Macaca fascicularis: one gene and its partner. The protein of the gene in region 1 binds, or shares a complex with, the protein of each later gene. Links are inferred from orthologs where the notes say so. Each region holds a gene or a part of one and is shown in the gene's direction. Other genes may lie near its edges.

What was found. The genes of interacting proteins can lie anywhere in the genome.
Region 2: RNF113A (region 1) and SCNM1 share a complex: the UniProt entries of both Homo sapiens proteins name them as parts of the minor spliceosome. The link is inferred for Macaca fascicularis from reciprocal best matches to the Homo sapiens genes RNF113A and SCNM1.

Annotation. Positions count from the first base shown.
Region 1 is NC_088395.1:126,232,159-126,237,031, reverse strand, and holds RNF113A (E3 ubiquitin-protein ligase RNF113A), read left to right. Parts: upstream 1-2,350; 5' UTR 2,351-2,456; coding exon 2,457-3,491; 3' UTR 3,492-3,548; downstream 3,549-4,873. Other genes in the region: NDUFA1 (NADH dehydrogenase [ubiquinone] 1 alpha subcomplex subunit 1), read right to left, coding at 684-773, 2,057-2,158. UniProt on the Homo sapiens protein: Required for pre-mRNA splicing as component of the spliceosome. As a component of the minor spliceosome, involved in the splicing of U12-type introns in pre-mRNAs. E3 ubiquitin-protein ligase that catalyzes the transfer of ubiquitin onto target proteins.
Region 2 is NC_088375.1:110,052,518-110,058,453, reverse strand, and holds the start of SCNM1 (sodium channel modifier 1), read left to right. Parts: upstream 1-2,664; 5' UTR 2,665-2,673; coding exon 2,674-2,724; exon of another isoform or gene 2,725-2,773; intron 2,774-2,998; coding exon 2,999-3,069; intron 3,070-3,425; coding exon 3,426-3,514; intron 3,515-3,611; coding exon 3,612-3,709; intron 3,710-3,816; coding exon 3,817-3,905; intron 3,906-4,920; exon of another isoform or gene 4,921-4,939; coding exon 4,940-5,134; intron 5,135-5,936. Other genes in the region: LYSMD1 (lysM and putative peptidoglycan-binding domain-containing protein 1), read right to left, coding at 1,601-1,780. UniProt on the Homo sapiens protein: As a component of the minor spliceosome, involved in the splicing of U12-type introns in pre-mRNAs. Plays a role in the regulation of primary cilia length and Hedgehog signaling.

The DNA of each region.
Region 1 (4,873 bases):
AAAATGACCTGTAGATGGGACCAAATAACTAATTTTTTTTAAAGAAACAATATTAGGAGAAATTATTTTTTAAAACTAATTTTATGAGCCAGGTATAGTGGCACACCTGTAGTCCCAGCTCCTCTGAAGGCTGAGGCAAGATCACTTGAGCCTATGAGTTTGAGGCCAGCCAGGGCAACACAGCAAGACTGTCTCTATTTTATTTTTTGAACGTATTTTTATAACCTTAGGTAGAAAAGGCCTTTGTATGGGAGACATAAAAACTCAGAATGCAGAGCAACAAAACATGATAAATTGAATATCAAAATTTAAAACTACCTGATGAAAAACATCATAAAGTGAAAAAGACAAACAGCAGACTGGGAAAAATGTTTGTCATATATAAAATAGACAAAAAATTAAAAGTCTAGAATATATAAAGAACTATAGATTGAAAAGAAAAAAGACAAAACAATAGAACAGGCAAAGGATATAGGCAACAATCCACAGAATAAGAAATATATGACAGTAAGAAAAACTAAAAAAAATAAGAAACATAAAAGATTAAATATGTAAAAAGATGCCAACCTCACTAGTAGACAAGAAAATGCTAGTTATATATTAGCATTGTATGACCCTTGGCAAGGCATTACCAGAACCCACCTCAACCCTGGCAGAAGGCTGGCATCAGAGTGGCTTCTTACCTTTGACACATAGTGACGATTAACTCCAGAGATGCGCCTATCTCTTTCCATCAGATTCCAGTGATACCCAAAATGAGCAATCCTTTTTTCCTTCAAATAAGAGACAATTATTGTTGCAGTTTATAAAAGTGAGTGACCCAGTTGATGGATATTACAATTTTTAGAAGGGACATTCTAGAGAAATGGAATCATCATTCAAATAAAAATGCAAATTAGTAGTACAAGAACAGAATCTCCTAAATAAAATCAGACCACTACACTTTAGGATTAAGTTGGTGACCGTGACTTCTTACACTATTTTAACCAACATGAATTTTTTTTCCTTTTTAAAAAAAAGAAAAAAAAAAGAAATATCTAGTTGTTGCCTTTTGGGACACTAAGAAACAACAGCTGTAGATCACACGTGGACAATCACAAATTCAAAAAGTAAGTAAATTTATACTCTGTACTCTAGAGATGATGTGAAGGGCTAAGAGGGGAAAATGAATCCTGATGTAAAACACAAGACCTTGCAGTAAATTCCTAAACGCTTGCAAGAGAAAGTGGGGAATAAAAAAGTCAAGGGTGGCCGGGAGCGGCGGCTCACGCCTGTAATCCCAGCACTTTGGGAGGTCAAGGCGGGTGGATCACCTGAGGTCAGAAGTTCGAGACCAGCCTCGCCAACATGATGAAACCCCCGTCTCTACCAAAATAAATAAATAAATAGCCGGGCGTGGTCCCGGCTACTCAGGAGGGTGAGGCAGGAAAAATTTTTTTTTTTTTTTTTGAGACGGAGTTTCGCCCTTGTTGCCCAGGCTGGAGTGCAGTGTCGCGATCTCGGCTCACTGCAACCTCCGCCTCCTGGGTTCAAGCGATTCTCCTGCCTCAGCCTCCCGAGTAGCTGGGATTACAGGCATGCGCCACCACGCCCCACTAATTTTGTATTTTTAGTAGAGATGGGGTTTCCCCATGTTGGTCAGGCTGGTATCGAACTCCCGACCTCAGGTGATCCGCCCGCCTCGGTCTCCCAAAGTGCTGGGATTACAGGCGTGAGCCACCGCGCTCAGCCAGGAGAATCTCTTGAACCCGGAAGGCGGAGGTTGCAGTGAGGGATTCTCAGGCTTGAGCCACCTCTTCTAATCTACCTTTCCGGCCCCCGCGTCGCTACTCTGCCCTAAGGCCCACTTTGATACACCCAGAAACGCTGTTTTTCACCAGAGCAGGATGTGGTTTCTACCGCGCTTCGTTTCGCAAGCCTCGGCTTCTAGGCAACCGGAAGAAAGTAGAGGGCCGGCCTCGGAGAGAGGGTCCGCAGGCTGACGGCCTCTCTGCCCACCATCCTTTTCAGAAATCAGCCAGTGGAGTCAGCCCCCGGGCCCAGGAAGCCGCCTTACCTTGCCCCCGTTAGTGAACCTCTGGATGTACGCAGTAGCCAGTCCTGGAATAAGCAAGCACACGCCCATGGCGGCGAGTCCGGGGAGAATCTCGAACCACATCTCTGCCCCGTTATCTAGGCCAAAACCCTACTTCTGGGTCCTTGAAAGGTGACCGGGCTTCGGCTCCCTTCCCAGTAAGCCCCGCGGCCGCCCGCGAGCGGGGCGGTGCCACGTACGGCTCCGGAGGAAGCGACGGGATCTGCCAGGGCTCAAGAGAGGCTGGCGCTCGCGCTCTCGCAGTTCTCTTCCGTCAGTGTCTTTTGCTTCGACTCCCGGCGGAGCGCGCGACGTGGAGTAACGCGCAGAGGCCAAGTGCAACCCAGGCAGCGACGGCCGTTTCGGAGCTCGGGACTCTAAAATGGCAGAGCAGTTTTCTCCAGGGAAGACGGCGGATCAGGTGTGCACCTTCCTTTTCAAAAAGCCTGGGCGGAAAGGGGCTGCTGGACGCAGAAAGCGCCCGGCCTGCGACCCAGAGCCCGGAGACAGCGGCAGCAGTAGCGACGAAGGCTGCACTGTGGTTCGACCGGAAAAGAAGCGGGCGACTCACAATCCAATGATACAGAAGACTCGTGACAGTGGTAAACAGAAGGCAGCTTACGGCGACTTGAGCAGCGAGGAGGAGGAGGAAAATGAGCCCGAGAGTCTCGGCGTGGTTTATAAATCCACCCGCTCGGCGAAACCCGTGGGACCAGAGGATATGGGGGCGACAGCTGTCTATGAGCTGGACACAGAGAAAGAGCGCGATGCACAAGCCATCTTTGAGCGCAGCCAGAAGATCCAGGAGGAGCTGAGGGGCAAGGAGGATGACAAGATCTATCGGGGAATCAACAATTATCAGAAATACATGAAGCCCAAGGATACGTCTATGGGCAATGCCTCTTCCGGGATGGTGAGGAAGGGCCCCATCCGAGCGCCCGAGCATCTACGTGCCACCGTGCGCTGGGATTACCAGCCCGACATCTGTAAGGACTACAAAGAGACTGGCTTCTGCGGCTTCGGAGACAGCTGCAAATTCCTCCATGACCGTTCAGATTACAAGCATGGGTGGCAGATCGAACGTGAGCTTGATGAGGGTCGCTATGGTGTCTATGAGGATGAAAACTATGAAGTGGGAAGCGATGATGAGGAAATACCATTCAAGTGTTTCATCTGTCGCCAGAGCTTCCAAAACCCAGTTGTCACCAAGTGCAGGCATTATTTCTGCGAGAGCTGTGCACTGCAGCATTTCCGCACCACCCCGCGCTGTTATGTCTGTGACCAGCAGACCAATGGCGTCTTCAATCCAGCGAAAGAATTGATTGCTAAACTAGAGAAGCATCGAGCTACAGGAGAGGGTGGTGGTGCTTCCGACTTGCCAGAAGACCCCGATGAGGATCCAATTCCCGTTACTTAGCTGTCTGATAATTCTTAAATTTAAATAATAAATATTTTGTTCTTTTGGAAGTCTTAATTCGTGTCCTTCCTTTGTAGAGACAGTGACAGAGAAGGCGGGTGGTGAAGTAGGGTCCTGGATTAAAAACCTCAAGGTAGGTATAATCAGGATTTTTAGCCCTAGGATAACCATTTTGCCTGTGTTTCTTTTCAGAACACTTTGGCATCAATTATAGGGGTGGGAGTAGTTTGAGAAAAGAGCTATAATTTGCTTGAAGTAGCCAAAGCTATGACGAAAGTAAGAACTCTGAGCCTGTTTATCATATCACATTTCTGTATCACTTAATAGTTTACAAAGTACTTTCATGCATTCTTTCTCTTGGGAGCCTGTACTACAAAATATACCGGAGCCAAGGTGTTGGGGAGAGGGGTTGCGTTTGGGGAATTGGTAGCTAGTACCACAGGCTTCACATATGGGAAATGTTCCTTGCTGTCTGGGTTATTTATTTATTTATTTATTTATGAGACGGAGTCTCGCTCTGTTGTCCAGGCTGGAGTGCAATGGCGCGATCTCAGCTCACTGCAACCTCCGCCTCCCGGGTTCAAGCGATTCCCCTGCCTCAGCCTCCCGCGTAGCTGAGACTACAGGCGCTTGCCACCACGCCCAGCTAACTTTTTGTATTTTTAGTAGAGACGGGGTTTCACCATATTAGCCAGGATGGTCTTCATCGCCTGAACTCGTGATCCGCCCACCTCGGCATCCGCCCACCTAGGCCTCCCAAAGTGCTGGGATCACAGGCGTGAGCCACCGCACCCGGCTCCCTTGCTGTCTTGGAAGCAGCTATAGTTAACCCCCTCTTCCATGGATGATAAAAGTATCTGTGCTCAGCTATCCAAGTGTGATAGACACTAGCCTCATGTGACTGTTGAGTACTTGAAATGTGGCTGACCACTGTATTGGACATTGCTATTGTAGACTGAACTTGTGAACCTGCAAAGGGCAAAAACATAGTATTTTATCATCCATTACCTGAAACTATCTGTGTTCTCACAGTCTCTGTAATAGTGTTGATCACACCTTATTAAAATTAGTGGATGTACCTGTCTTTCCAACTGGTTTATGAACTCGGTGACTAGCCTAGTGCTTGGCATATAATAAGCACTTAATAAATAAGCCTGGAGAGGTTTAAAAAGGGAGATTGGGGCCAAAGCCTTGAATCCAAGCTGAGGAGCACTGACTGTATTCTGTAGGCAGTGGGGGAGATAGCAGAGGTTTGGGAAGAGAACACAATCAGACGGGGTTTTTTGTTTGTTTTAGTGTTACTGTGGTTGCGGCTATAGGATGGATCACAAGGGAGATGGAAGACAAGAGGCAGGGAGGCCAGTTAGGCCAAATGATTAGTA
Region 2 (5,936 bases), on another chromosome or scaffold:
AGAAACTACAGATATAGTATATTAGTATTTTTTTTCTTCTTTTTTTTTTTTTTTTTTTGGAGACAAGGTCTCACTCTGTTGCCCAGCCTGGAGTGTAATGGCACAATCTCAGTTCACTGCAACCTCCGCCTCCCAGGCTCAAGTGATCCTCTGCCTCAGCCTCCCCAGTAGTTGGGATTACAGGCACATGCCATCACACCCAGCTAATTTTTGTATTTGTTGTAGAGATGGGGTTTCACCACATTGCCCAGGCTGGTCCTATACTCCTGAGCTCAAGCAATCCACTCGCCTCAGCCTCCCAAAGTGCCGGGATTACAGCACAGGCATGAGCCACCACGCCTGGCCCACCCCAGCCCCTTTCCAACTAAAATTTAATCTTTCTGATTTCCTATCCGTTTTTTTATTTTGAGACAGAGTCTCGCTCTGTTGCCCAGGCTGGAGTGCTGGAGTGCAGTGGTGCGATCTCAGCTCATCACAACCTTCACCTCCCAGCTTCAAGCAATTCTTCTGCCTCAGCCTCCTGAGTAGCTGGGATTTCAGGCGAGCACCACCACGCCCGGCTAATTTTTGTATTTTTAGTTGAGACAGTGTTTTGCCACGTTAGCCAGACTGGTCTCGTACTCATAACCTTAGGTGATCCACTTGCCTCAGCCTCCCAATAATGCTAGGATTACAGGGGTGAGCCACCATGCCTGGCCCTGATTCTTTGTTAATACCTTTACAAATTCACCACGTTCTGTCATTTGTAATCATTATTTGTGTACCTGTTTATTTCTCATTAGGCCATAAATTACATGAGGACAGCAACCATATAGTTTAAGTTTCTGTCTCCCAGAAAAGTTATCACAGTGCTTTAAATGTTGGCTAAAGCATAAAAATGTTGGCTAAATTCAACATTTGCTTGAGTGAGATGGAACAAGAAAACAGGGGTGGGGGTAGGGGGAGTAACCTCATCAACTTCAATGCTATACATTTTTACATCTATCCAATTTCCCCCATGCATGACCTGAAATACTTGGTGTAGAGTACCTGTTTTGTGCCAGGGAAGCCGCCTTACTAGAAAGAAGGCAGAGCACTGAGGAGGAACCAAGAGCAAGGAGAGGTAGGCACTTTAGGAACTGAGAACTAAAAATAAGCTCTCCATTATTTGCTGTAAACGTTTAATCACTCTCAATGTAAAATTTTCTGTGTGGTTTACAGAGTCAGACAGACCTGTTTGAATCCCATATCTGACAATCATTATTTGACCTTAGTCAAAATGGTTAACCAATCCAAGTCTCAGTTTCTTCATCTGCCAAAAGGGAACAATAAATGTATACTTGATATGGACGTGAGGGTGAAATGAGCTAACGTATGTGAAGCCCCTAGCACAGTGTCTGGCATGATAAAATAGGAGCTGTTCCTCTCCATTGGAATAGTAGAGCAGAACTTGTCCCAACCACGCAGTGCAACACTGTGATGGGAAAACAAAGATAAAGGCAGAACAGAGTTCAACACATTAGGAACATTTCAGGGGAGGTTACCTAGAAGGTCCACTACATTCTTCTCAGGACTAAATCCCTCCTGACTCTTGTCTGCACCCCAATCCTGGAAAACTCACCGTCACCCCATATTTGAGTGCTAGTCCAGCCAGGGTGTCTCCGGGCTCCAACTGATGCTCCAGGCGTCTTTCCCTCACTGGGGAGCAGGCCGATTGCACCAGGCTTCCATATGAACGAGCCCGGCTCCCGTGAAGCAGTCCTGACCCCCCTGGCGGGGGCTGTCTAGACGGGGAAGCCATCTCTTCACCCTGCCGACAGCTAGGTTGCAACTAGGGGAGGCCCGACCGAGACTGCGAGTGACAGGCCTGAAGTCTGGGAATAGATATTCAGGGGATTCCTTTCCCCTTCTCTCTTCCCCTGTGTCCCCGCCTCCCCAGCACTACGCCACCTGCCCCCTCCCGGTTTCTCCTCCCTCCAACTCCTTATCCACAAATCTGTCCCTTGAGTATTCAGTCCCTCCCTGATTCGCCCCTAAGCACCCCTCCGACTTTGAACTCCCCCACAACTCCTCGCTACATTGACCTCTGACCTTTGAACTCTAGAAATAATCCTCAACACTCTTTCCTCAGTTTGCCCCCAAGTAGCCTGGCCTCAGGGCGCTCCCACATCCCAGCTCTGCCCGGTCCCGGGGTTTGTTTGCTAGAGCCAGGAACAAATCAGGCCCACCCCAGGTGAACTGTCGCCGCAGACGAAGAGCGTGAGGATTGCGAGAATTTGTAGTACACCTTCCACTCAGAGATCCTCACAGGTCCGCTCCGCATCAGATAGGTCACACCCTCAAATTTCGGCTCCACATCTAGGTTCTTGTCCCTCTAAACGCCTCAGATCCACCAAGATGCAAGGGCCTGGATCCAGCTGAGCGGCAAGGTCTTTGAGGAAAAGACTTCATTTCCCAAAAGGCGTCGCGTCTGCAGAGTCGCACGGCACCATAGGAAATGCAGTTCCCTCCACGCGCCAGAGAGTGGATATCCGGATGGCGCAATGCATGCGTGGAAGTGCATTCCCGGAAGTACGGGGGCCGACAGGAAGACAAAGAGAAAAGAGAAGGCGCTGTCCCGCTCTTGCTACGGTGGCCTAGAGGAGTGGCGAAACCGGAACAAGAAAATTTATCACTCTGGGACTCACAGTCGTGATGTCTTTCAAGAGGGAAGGAGACGATTGGAGTCAACTCAATGTGCTCAAAGTAAGCGTGAGCGGAGAGGATCTGCAGCCTCTTCAGTCGCTCTCTGAAGGTTGGGAAGGAGCGTTGTTTCATTGCTCTGGCAACAACTCGGGGGTGCAGGAGAGAACCAGGCGACTTAGAGCTGTGTAGTGACTCCTTTTTCGGTCTATGATCGCTGTTCTCCCCAGGGTCCTTATGTCCTTATTCCGTTTGACTCCTCATTTCTGTCATTTAACTTCCATCCCTCTCTCCTATCCTGCTGATCCGTCCGGATTTCTTCCCCTACTCCCTGCAGAAAAGAAGAGTCGGGGACCTCCTCGCCAGTTACATCCCAGAGGATGAGGCGCTGATGCTTCGGGATGGACGGTAAGAGCGAGGAGTGGCTCAAGCCTGAGGGTTTTGCGGTTAGAGGCTCAATAGCTGTGTTGCCCAGGCTGTCCTTGAACTCTAGGGCTCAAGTGATCCTGCCTCCTCAGCGTCGCGATTAGCTGGGATTACAGGCGCACGCCACCACGCCCGGCTTCAACAAACTTTTGTTATTAATTAGGACAGCAGAAGTATCTAGGATTCTTTGGCGGCTAGTGAGGACTGGAAGAAGTGGAGATTGGGTCACCAGGGAGTTGGGTTTTGCAAAGACTGCTAGGACAGGGTGGGACTTACGGCAGGGACAGGCCCAACCCTCTTCCCCTGGACCAGTTATCCTCTTCTCTACCCCTGCTCAGCTTTGCTTGTGCCATCTGCCCCCATCGACCGGTACTGGACACCCTGGCCATGCTGACTGCCCACCGTGCAGGCAAGAAACATCTGTCCAGTAAGTTCGGGGGAAGACAGGGGATGGGGAATAAATCGAAATCTCTGCACACCAGCCTTGGTGCTATGCTTTTAATTCTGTTTCCCTTTCTCTTCAGGCTTGCAGCTTTTCTATGGCAAGAAGCAGCCGGGAAAGGAAAGGAAGCAGAATCCAAGACATCAGAATGAATTGAGGAGGGAAGAAACCAAAGCTGAGGTAATCAGAGAGTGGAGAGTGTGTTCTAGGCAAGACCCTGCTGCACACACCAGGCTGGAAGGGCAGAGGGCTGAAGGCTCTGACTCTGTCTCCCATCTTCTTACCAGGCTCCTCTGCTAACCCAGACACGACTTATCACCCAGAGTGCTCTGCACAGAGCTCCCCACTATAACAGTTGCTGCCGCCGGAAGTACAGGTATGGGAGGGGAAAGCCAGAGGTAGGAAGGCTCGGAAGGAGATAGAGGGCTCTGAAAGTGTTTTCCAGTCTGTATTCTGAGGAATACTAGCGTTCTGGAGATGTTACTTAGTGTTTCAAGAAAAGGAGAATTTTGGCCGGGCACGGTGGCTCACACCGGTAATCCCAGCACTTTTGGAGGCTTAGGCGGTGGATCACTTGAGATCAGGAGTTCAAGACCAGCCTGGCCAACATGGTGAAACCCCGTCTCTACCAAAAATATAAAAAATTAGCTGGGTGTGTGGTGTGTGCCTGTAATCCCAGCCACTCAAGAGGCTGAGGTGGAAGAATTGCTTGAATCCGGGAGGCAGAGGTTGCTGTGAGCCAGGATCATACCACTTCACTCCAGCCTAGGTGACAGAGTGAGACTCCATCTCAAAAGAAAAAGAAAAGGAGAATTTTGTGATTTTTAAATAAAGTTTGGGAAATGGCACTTTGTAATTCTACTTGAAGAGTAACAGTTTTAGGCCGGGCGCAGTGGCTCAAGCCTGTAATCCCAGCACTTTGGGAGGCCGAGACGGGTGGATCGCGAGGTCAGAAGATCGAGACCATCCTGGCTAACACGGTGAAACCCCGTCTCTACTAAAAAATACAAAAAACTAGCCGGGTGAGGTGGCGGGCGCCTGTATCCCAGCTACTCGGGAGGCTGAGGCAGGAGAATGGCGTAAACCCGGGAGGCGGAGCTTGCAGTGAGCTGAGATCTGGCCACTGCACCCCAGCCTGGGTGACAGAGCAAGACTCCATCTCAGAAAAAAAAAAAAAAAAAAAAAGAGTAACAGTTTTAAAAGCTATACAAAGTCTTAAGAATTAAAAAAAAAACTTGTAAAATTTAAAGCTAGCCTTTCCCAAATTCATGATTCTAAAATCCTTTGTATGCAGAACTTACTAATATCTTGAAAAATATAGTTTAAGAAACACTGTTTTAAGAGGTTGGGAGTCATAGGAGAGTTGGCCCTTTCCCTTACTGCTTTTACAGACTATTCTTCTCTACCTAGACCAGAAGCCCCTGGTCCCTCTGTCTCCCTTTCTCCTGTGCCACCCTCAGAGGTCGAACTCCAAAGCGGGAAGATCAGTAGGGAACCTGAACCTGGGGCTGGCCCACAGGCTGAGGAGTCAGCAACTGTCTCAGCCCCTGCACCCATGAGCCCCACAAGAAGACGAGCCCTGGACCATTATCTCACCCTTCGAAGGTGAGTGTGCCTAATCAGTTTCCTCAGATTTTCTTTTCTCTCTGACCCTTCTTGTTTCAAAGCTTTTTTTTTTTTTTTTTTTTTTTGAGACGGAGTCTCGCTCTGTCACCAGGCTGGAGTGCAGTGGTGTGATCTCATCTCAGCTCACTGCAACCTCCGCCTCCCAGGTTCAAGCGATTCCCCTGCCTCAACCTCTCGAGTAGCTGGGATTACAAGCATGTGCCACCATGCCTGGCTTATTTTTTGTATTTTAGTAGAGGCGGGGTTTCACTACGTTGGTGAGGATGGTCTCAATCTCCTGACCTTGTGATCCACCCACCTCGGCCTCCCAAAGTGCTGGGATTACAGGCGTGAGCCACCGTGCCCGCCCCCCAATTTTTTTTTTTTTTTTTTTTGAGACAGAGTTTTGTGTGTTCCCCAGGCTGGAGTGCAATGACACAATCTTGGCTCACCACAACCTCCGCCTCCGGGGTTCAAGCGATTCTCTTGCCTCAGCCTCCCAAGTAGCTGGGATTATAGGCATGCCCAGCTAATTTTATATTTTTAGTAGAGACGGGGTTTCTCCGTGTTGATCAGGCTGATCTTGAACTCCCGACCTCAGGTGATCCACCTGCCTTGGCCTCCCAAAGTGCTAGGATTACAGGCGTGAGCCACCATACCCGGCCTCCTATTGTTGTTTTTTATCTTTGGTTTCGTTTTGTTTTATCCACCCAACTTACATGGCTCTCAATTTTTTCTCACCACTAACTTTTTTTTTTTGGTAGAGACAGGGTTTCACCATGTTGGTCATGCTGGTCTTGAA